Yarrowia lipolytica: one gene and its partner. The protein of the gene in region 1 purifies or fractionates together with the protein of each later gene. This does not show direct contact. Links are inferred from orthologs where the notes say so. Each region holds a gene or a part of one and is shown in the gene's direction. Other genes may lie near its edges.

What was found.
Region 2: the proteins of YALI1_D04680g (region 1) and YALI1_B00280g purify together in Saccharomyces cerevisiae (affinity purification with mass spectrometry; 5 studies listed by BioGRID, with this or other methods). This does not show direct contact. The link is inferred for Yarrowia lipolytica from reciprocal best matches to the Saccharomyces cerevisiae genes RPB2 and RTR1.

Annotation. Positions count from the first base shown.
Region 1 is NC_090773.1:466,063-472,072, forward strand, and holds YALI1_D04680g (DNA-directed RNA polymerase II subunit RPB2), read left to right. Parts: upstream 1-1,959; coding exon 1,960-5,373; downstream 5,374-6,010. Other genes in the region: YALI1_D04653g (uncharacterized protein), read right to left, coding at 1-117.
Region 2 is NC_090771.1:26,286-29,350, forward strand, and holds YALI1_B00280g (uncharacterized protein), read left to right. Parts: upstream 1-1,742; coding exon 1,743-2,492; downstream 2,493-3,065. Other genes in the region: YALI1_B00273g (uncharacterized protein), read right to left, coding at 1-1,090. UniProt on the Saccharomyces cerevisiae protein: RNA polymerase II subunit B1 C-terminal domain (CTD) phosphatase that dephosphorylates 'Ser-5' of the CTD and regulates RNA polymerase II during the transition from 'Ser-5' to 'Ser-2' phosphorylation.

The DNA of each region.
Region 1 (6,010 bases):
CGAGTCCTCATCGAGATTTTCCATGAAGAACGACATAGCAGCAAGTGTAGCAATGGTGAAGTGTGAGCTGAAATCGAAACAATTAAGGTGGTATATGGGTGAGTATGTACTGTACATACTGTAGCTATAGTACATACAGTAGAGAGCTGGGGGAGTAAAGCAGAAGATATGATAGCACGAAAAGATGGTAGCACGAAAAGATGGTAGCATGAAGAGATGCTAACACATGCTAGCAACAAGTACAATATAGTACATACTGTACTGCTTTGTACCGATGGTATCAATACAGTAGTGAGATGGGGTTTAGGTGGTACGTTTATGTAAGTGGAAACAAATGATAGCTCACAGCACTAATGGGGGCTACGAAAGCGGACCTTGGATGCGATTAATACATAATGTTGGGAAGATCGAGACGATAATTTTGGTACAGTACCAAACATTAGTTATTTTCTGTACTTTTTCTGTGGCAAAATGCTCTCAGACAATTCATATATCCGTGTTTCAGTTGAATTTCACCAATTTCATGTGTTTTTGGAATTTTGGAAAAAGGGATTAAAAATTCATATCTTTCACAGCCTACTGGAACGTTTTTATATCAGTCACTATTTCTCAAAAGCTCTCAATCGTCCACCCATATTCCTCTCACTCAGAATTCAGTTGGTCAATTACTTTATCAGAGCTGTTTTGAGGGTGAGCAACCTCCCAGAAAGACAACTGAAATGTTACTGTATACAGTATGGGAGGGAATAGTGGCCGAACATTTTTTTTGAGACTTTGAAAAATATGAATAATTTGTATAAATTCGAAAAAAATATATAATTAATTGATACGAAACCATTGGAAAACAAATACCTCGCATTCCGATATCACTCTTTCTTCTTACACATAAAAAAAGGCTTCTCCTCTCCAGTCTCCTATCTCCAAAACTGCCTCCACACTTGACAAACTCTATCAAATTCGACTCTGCCAAAAACTTTTATTTTAGTTCCAACCAACCTCGGGGTTACCCGGCCGTCACGACGGGTGCACACAAGCTCTCTCTCGAACAAGGCGACACAGGATTTCAATCAGCACTGGAGGGGTGAACAACATGTCTGGTGAGTACGCGAGAGATCGGAAAGTCGGAGATATGACCGAGTGGTAGAGTCACGTGGCCCGGAGGCCTACGATGGGCCAGTGATCGAAGTGATAAGTGCTGGATCAGATGGTTTGTGAGAAGTGGCACAACAGCGATGACAGAGACCTATTGTTGTGGGATTGAGACAAAAGCGATGGAGGGAATCACCGTCGGCTTCTCGCCGTTGACAGACGTTTAAACGATGCTTCTACGGTGATTTGAGCCATTCGCCACCTATCACATATCATTCTATGTTATGACGGAGTCGAACATTGATCATCGTCAAGTCATTTGCCACCAACGACATCGACCAGGTGTCGCTACAGCTATGACACACACATTGATGTATTTGTTTCTCGCTCACTTTGTTTTCAGTAGCTCCATCTAAAGATGTCAATACGGTCACAGCGTCTTGATCCACCAGTCGTTGGCTTGATGATCACAGTACATCTGGTCCGGGTGCCCATCCAATGACCACAAGCAGGTAGCTGTGCGGTCTTGTGCAACAGTTGCTGGCTCGGGCGATACATCGAACAGCGCAGATCCCATCCACCTATCTTGCTGCTAACACAGAATACGAAGACCCGTACGGATACTACGAAGATACGGAAATCACCGCCGAGGACTGCTGGACCGTCATTTCCTCGTTCTTTAACGAAAAAGGACTCGTGTCCCAGCAGCTCGACTCCTTCGATGAGTTCATCGAAACCACCATCCAGGAGCTTGTGTGGGAGGACCGGACTCTGATCCTGGACCAGCCTGCCCAGCACACCACCCCTAACGACAACCAGAACAAGCGGTTCGAAATCACGTTTGGCAAAATCTACCTGTCTCGGCCCACCATGACCGAGGCTGATGGATCCACCCACCCCATGTACCCGCAGGAGGCCCGTGCTCGAAACCTGACCTACTCTTCTCCCCTCTACGTGGATATGAAGAAGCGGGTTCTGTTTTCTATTGACGACCCTGCCCGTCCCGAGGCCGATGTTGTGTGGAACCCCATCCCCGGTGAGGTCGAGGAGCCCGTGTCCAAGGTGTACATTGGCAAGGTGCCTATCATGCTGCGGTCCAAGTTTTGCATTCTGCGTGGCCTGCGGGAGAACGATCTCTACGAGCTGAACGAATGTCCCTACGATCAGGGAGGTTACTTTGTCATCAACGGTTCTGAAAAAGTGCTTATTGCCCAGGAGCGGTCTGCCGCCAATATCGTGCAGGTGTTTAAGAAGGCTGCACCCTCGCCCATCTCGCATGTGGCCGAGATTCGATCTGCCGTCGAGAAGGGCTCGCGTCTGATTTCGTCGATGCAGATCAAGATGTTTGGTCGAAGCGACAAGGGCCCCGTGACCATCAAGGCCGCGCTCCCTTATGTGCGGGCCGACATTCCAATTGTCGTTGTTTTCCGAGCCCTGGGCGTTGTGCCCGACGGAGATATTCTCGAGCACATTTGTTACGACAACAACGATTGGCAGATGCTGGAGATGCTGAAGCCGTGTATCGAGGAGGCGTTTGTGATCCAGGACCGAGAGGTTGCTCTGGACTATATTGGTCGACGAGGTTCGGCCGTCGGTGTGAACCGAGAGCGACGAGTACGATACGCCCGAGATATCCTGCAGAAGGAACTGCTGCCACACATCACCCAGGAGGAGGGTTTCGAGACCCGAAAGGCGTACTTCCTGGGCTACATGGTGCATCGAATGCTGCTTGTGGCTCTGGGTAGAAAGGAGCCCGACGATCGAGATCATTTCGGAAAGAAGCGACTTGATCTCGCAGGTCCACTTATGGCTGGTATCTTCCGAATGCTGTTCAAGAAGCTCACAAAGGACATTTACAGATACATGCTGAAGTGTGTCGAGACCAACAAGGACTTCAACCTGACTCTGGCTGTCAAGTCCAACACCATCACCAACGGTCTCAAGTACTCTTTGGCCACCGGAAACTGGGGTGACCAGAAGAAGGCAATGTCTTCACGAGCAGGTGTCTCCCAGGTGCTTAACCGATACACCTTTGCCTCGACACTGTCGCATTTGCGACGAACTAACACTCCCATTGGCCGAGACGGAAAGATTGCCAAGCCCCGACAGCTGCACAACACGCATTGGGGTCTGGTATGTCCCGCTGAGACTCCCGAGGGACAGGCTTGTGGTCTCGTCAAGAACTTGTCTCTTATGTCGTGCATCTCAGTCGGTACCCCTTCCTTCCCCATCATCAACTTCCTGGATGAGTGGGGAATGGAGCCTCTGGAGGACTATGTGCCTCATACGCACACCACCTCTACGCGTGTCTTTGTCAACGGTGTGTGGGTGGGCGTGCATCGAGACGCCACCCAGCTCACCGACATGATCAAGTCTCTGCGGCGAATGGGTGACATCGAGTCCGAGGTGTCGATCATTCGAGATATCCGAGAAAAGGAGATTCGAATTTTCACGGATGCCGGTCGTGTCTACCGACCGCTTTTTGTGGTCGAAAACAACCCCGATGCCGAGCGCAAGGGTGAACTGGTTCTGCAGAAGGACCACATTTATCAGCTGCAACAGCAGATGGCCGAACAGGCCGAGACTGAGGGCGACGAGGGCAAGGGCGACAAAAACACGGGCTGGAACTGGCTCGTCGACAATGGTGTGATTGAGTACATCGATGGTGAAGAGGAAGAGACGGTCATGATTGCCATGACTCCCGAGGATCTGGAGTTCTCGCGACAGATGCAGGCCGGCGTGGAAATGCCTGAGGACGAGCTTGACCCCGCCAGACGAGTCAAGCCCGCATACAACCCCCACTCGCACACCTGGACCCATTGTGAGATTCATCCCTCGATGATTCTTGGTATTCTGGCGTCCATTATTCCTTTCCCTGATCATAACCAGTCGCCCCGAAACACATACCAGTCAGCCATGGGTAAGCAGGCCATGGGCGTGTTCCTCACCAACTACGACGTGCGTATGGACACCATGGCCAATATTCTGTACTACCCTCAGAAGCCGTTGGCCACCACGCGGTCCATGGAGTTCCTCAAGTTCCGAGAGCTCCCCGCCGGTCAGAACGCCATTGTGGCTATTCTGTGTTACTCCGGTTACAACCAGGAAGATTCCGTGGTCATGAACCAGTCGTCTATTGATCGAGGACTGTTCCGATCGCTCTTCTTCCGTTCGTACATGGACCAGGAGCGACGAGTGGGTATGTCTGTGGTCGAGGAGTTTGAGAAGCCTACCCGGGCAGATACTCTTCGAATGAAGCACGGCACCTACGACAAATTGGACGACGATGGTCTGGTGTGTCCCGGAGTGCGTGTTTCCGGTGAGGACATTATCATTGGAAAGACGGCTCCCATTCCTCCGGACGCAGAGGAGCTTGGTCAGCGAACCAAGTACCACACCAAGCGAGACGCGTCCACGCCTCTGCGATCGACCGAAAACGGTATTGTTGACCAGGTGCTGCTGACCACCAACCAGGAGGGACTGCGGTTCGTTAAGGTGCGAATGCGAACCACCAAGATCCCCCAGATTGGAGACAAGTTTGCGTCGCGTCACGGACAGAAGGGTACCATTGGTGTGACGTACCGACATGAGGACATGCCGTTCTCCGCCGAGGGAGTGGTCCCCGATATCATCATCAACCCCCACGCCATTCCTTCGCGTATGACCGTCGCGCATCTGATTGAGTGTCTGCTTTCCAAGGTGTCGTGTCTGTCTGGTCTGGAGGGTGACGCCACTCCGTTCACGGATGTGACTGTCGACGCCATCTCCAAACTGCTGCGGTCCCACGGCTACCAGTCCAGAGGTTTTGAGGTCATGTACCACGGCCACACTGGTAAGAAGATTATGGCTCAGTGTTTCTTGGGTCCCACTTACTACCAGCGTCTGCGTCATATGGTGGATGACAAGATCCACGCTCGAGCACGTGGTCCTGTGCAAATTCTGACCCGACAGCCCGTCGAGGGTCGATCTCGAGAGGGTGGTCTGCGATTCGGAGAAATGGAGCGAGATTGTATGATTGCCCATGGAGCTGCCGCCTTCCTCAAGGAGCGACTCATGGAGGCGTCGGATGCGTTCCGAATCCACGTCTGCGGTGTCTGTGGCTCCATGAACGTGATTGCTAACCTGAAAAAGAACCAGTTTGAATGCCGATCGTGCCGAAACAAGACCAAGATTTACCAGGTCCAGATTCCGTACGCTGCGAAACTGTTGTTCCAGGAGCTGATGGCGATGAACATTGCTCCGAGATTGTTCAGCGATAGGAGTGGGTATAGTGTGAGAGTTTAGAGGAGATTCGAGGCGTAGCCAAGAGTCTCCCACTAGAAACTGCAGAGCAGAATCTCAGTCTCACACCGTAAGGAAACCAGGGAAGGTCCTGGTCTCCGTGTATTGTATGTAATAGTTAGAGGTTGGAATAAATGTATGATTATAAGAGGAACAGGAGGGTGTCTGAGTGTTTCTGGAGTAGGGCATGTATTGTAGGTGGTTACAGTACTGTACTGTGATTCATTGATAACACTGACTGATGCTGATTCAGGTAGTTCTGGATCGATGCTCAAAGAAAAATGTCAACAAAAAAATGATACCAGTTGTAGAAGTGCTGGATATGACGATAACGCAATCATTTGATATTGAAAGTGGTATTCCGTTTCGTTTCCTTGGGGTTTGACTTGAATTTCTCTCTTGCAATGTCTCTGACCACACAGTAGTAGACCATACAGTAGCACGCTGACCACACAGCCCATCTTTGTCTTCAACTTCTTCTCAAACAAATTCAGATATTTACTTTTTCTGTTATACTGTAGTTGTCACTCGAGACTCAGGAGTCATTGAGCGGAAGAGAGCAGAAGAACTGGACAGCCTTTTACAGTAGTTTATCTGCGTGTCTTCCCTGGCGGTTACGGTGACTTACTAGGTAATCAGC
Region 2 (3,065 bases), on another chromosome or scaffold:
TGAGCTGGTCATTGAATGCATGCTCGTGATAGTCCTGAGTGAGCACGTCCAGAAACTTGCGGTACACTCTGGGACGGAAATTGTTGAATTTCGCAATGTACGAGTGCTTGAGCCAGTCGACAGCGACTTCGGAGCCCAGCACCACTAGAGCAGGACCCAGCAGAGCCCCTAGCCATCGATTCCAGCCCGACCACGACGATGGAACGAGACCCGTATTGGAGACCTCGACCACGTTCCGGAGTCCGATGGACACCAGTAGCACCCACAACTGGAACCGCTCGGTGATATCTGCACAGGTGAGCTGGAACAGAGACTCGCGTTCAAACCGCTTAAAAACGGTCGACTTGACCTCGTTGAACTGGTTGGACAACAGCAGGGTCAGCAGCGCGTTGGAGTACGAGTTGACGGCCACGTTGAGGGTCACAATCTGGTACAGCAGCACCCCTGAATGCACAGCCGAGTAAGCCATGTACAGACCCATGTATGTCGCGAGTCGCTGGTAGTTGTTGAGGGTGCCTGCGGAAAAGAGCGACTCCAGCACATCCAGACCCCAAGCCGCACACAGTTTGTCTGTGATTTCCAGCACGTTGAACATGACGTAGAGCTTCATGGCGTTCTGGCCTCTGATGTTGTGGTAGAGCTTGGAGGTGTCAATGAGCAGCAGGAAGGTCATTGTCGAAATGACAACCACAGCCTTGATGATGTCGCTCATGTTGGTCATGGTCACGTGGCGGGTCGACCGACGTTTGGCTATGCCCCATAGTACTGAGGCCACCTTGAGAGGCATGATTGTGACCGTGTAGAGGAAGGAGTCGAGGCAAGTGAGAAATCCAAAGGCCATGATCATCTCCAGATTCAGCGGCACCTTGATAAGCGACAGCAGGTGCTCATTTTTCTCCTCGGTGTACGGCTGTTCGCCCTGGAGGTGCACCTGGAGATAGTCCCATAATGAGCGTGGAACCGGCGGGTTTTCGGGCCGTTCAAACCCCTCAAAGTCTGAAAACGACAGCCGCGGACGCGACGGAGACGACAGAGACCGCCGCGGACGTATTCGGTCGCTTTTCGCCGACGTGTTGGTTCGCCTTCGCATTGTGGGGGATTTTGCAGTGAATAGGAGATGACATCAAATTAAAGTTTCCATCTGCCTGACGTCAATAGTGAGAGGGAAATACATGGGTGGATGTGGGCGGTAATTGGTGGGGATTAGAGAGTAAAAAGCTGAATGTGGACGTTATAAGACGTTGAATTAGTCAGCAGCTTCATGTTTGAAACTTTTCTGATCAAAATTACAAATCTACACCGGATTAATACTTTGTGCTAAAAACTTCTCCAGAAACCGCAATATTGGTCGAAATCGAATTCTGAAAGTGGCAATCTGATGTGCTGACCAAGCAAGGTCGTTTTGTGTATTGAGATATCTCCCTAGTTCTCTACATGGTCCTCCAGTTGTCCCCCCGTCTCTTGTCGTATTAACGTACGTCTGGCTGCAATGCGGGTCACTGGTCTCTGTTGCAGACCATTTAAACTCAGCATCTTGACCACCTAGCAAGGCAGACGACAGCAACACGATTGAGAGTGGCGGTAAAAAAAAACCGCAAAAATCGGAAAAAAATCGAGAAAATCACGAAACCGCCGATAATCACATCCACGACGGCAACCAAACGACCGCAATTTTTCAAACGGCTTCAAATACACCCCATTTGACGCGTAATCACACCACCCACAACAACCCCCACACATTCATGTTGCAACTACGCGAGGAAATCGAAAAGCTACGAACTCGGTTTGGAAACACGGGGTCTGAGCCGCCAAACCTGCAGCTTTCTGCACTCATCACGATCGCCGTGATCGAGGCTCTGTCGGCGAAGAAAACCGACATCCAGACCTTCAAGTACGCGTCGCGATACCTCACCCCCGAGGTGTACGACGAGCTGGTTGGCGAACGCACTTACGAACACATCTGCGGGTACCCTCCGTGCGGACTGGTGCCCAAGTCTGCGTCGGGCAAAAACAAGATTCTCGGCACGCTGGCCCAGAACCAAAAGTTTGACGTGCCGTGGGCGTATCTGCGGACCTTTTGCAGCAAGCAGCACTACCAGGCGAGCCAGTTTTATCGTGCACAGCTGTCGTCGGACCCTCTGGACCTGCGAGGCAGCATCTGGGGCGACTATGGCTCGTGCAAACAGTACGAGGGCAGCATCATCCTGCTGGAGGAACTGACGTCGGACGCCCAGCAGGGCAAATCCATGGCTGAGATTGTGGAGGGGTTCACGCAGATGTCGCTCAAGGACCCCGAGCTCGCTAGGATGAACATTCCTGCCAACGGAGACGAGATCACCAAGCTGGGCAAGGAGATCCAGGAGATTTCGCTGAGAGAGCGCGAGGACGACGAGAATGACGTGGAGCCAGACTACGAGTCGTTGGAGGACATGAGTAGTAAGGATAAGGCCAGTGCTATTGAGGGCTATAAGCCGAGAATCCAGTGGAGATAGCGAGACGGATTGAGGAATCTATCATGACAGGTTGAGGCAACGTCGACATCAAGTTGTGGATTCCTGACGATAACATGAGACGGGAATCGCAACAAGATCTGAAACAGTGACAGCTGGGTTTTAGACTGGATTCGGCAACACTGACAGGTGCACCACATGTTCGACTAGAACGCCCAGCTCCACATAGCGGCTTAGACATACGCCACAGCAGGAGACAGTGGAACATTGCCCACCACTGTCACACTCTCCGAGGTGGTATAATTTCTAGTGTCTGAATGGGTGACTCTCTGGAGTTAGGTCTCCTCTCTATCTTGCGCTGTGATCTCCCAGAGTATCATCTTCTGATCTGTCAGGCTTCCAATACCGTCTCCATGAACAGGCGAGTGGTCTCATTGCAAAGTGCAGGAATTCGGCCTCCACGCTCGTCTCCTATTTATATGGCTACTAGCTGATATGGAACAAATGTATATTACGATGAGGTATAAACAAAAAAGCGACGGGTTCAGGAGTGAGTAGATACGGTAAAGGCCGTACAAAGGACTCCGTTTTTGAGCAGCTCTCAAACCCACAGCC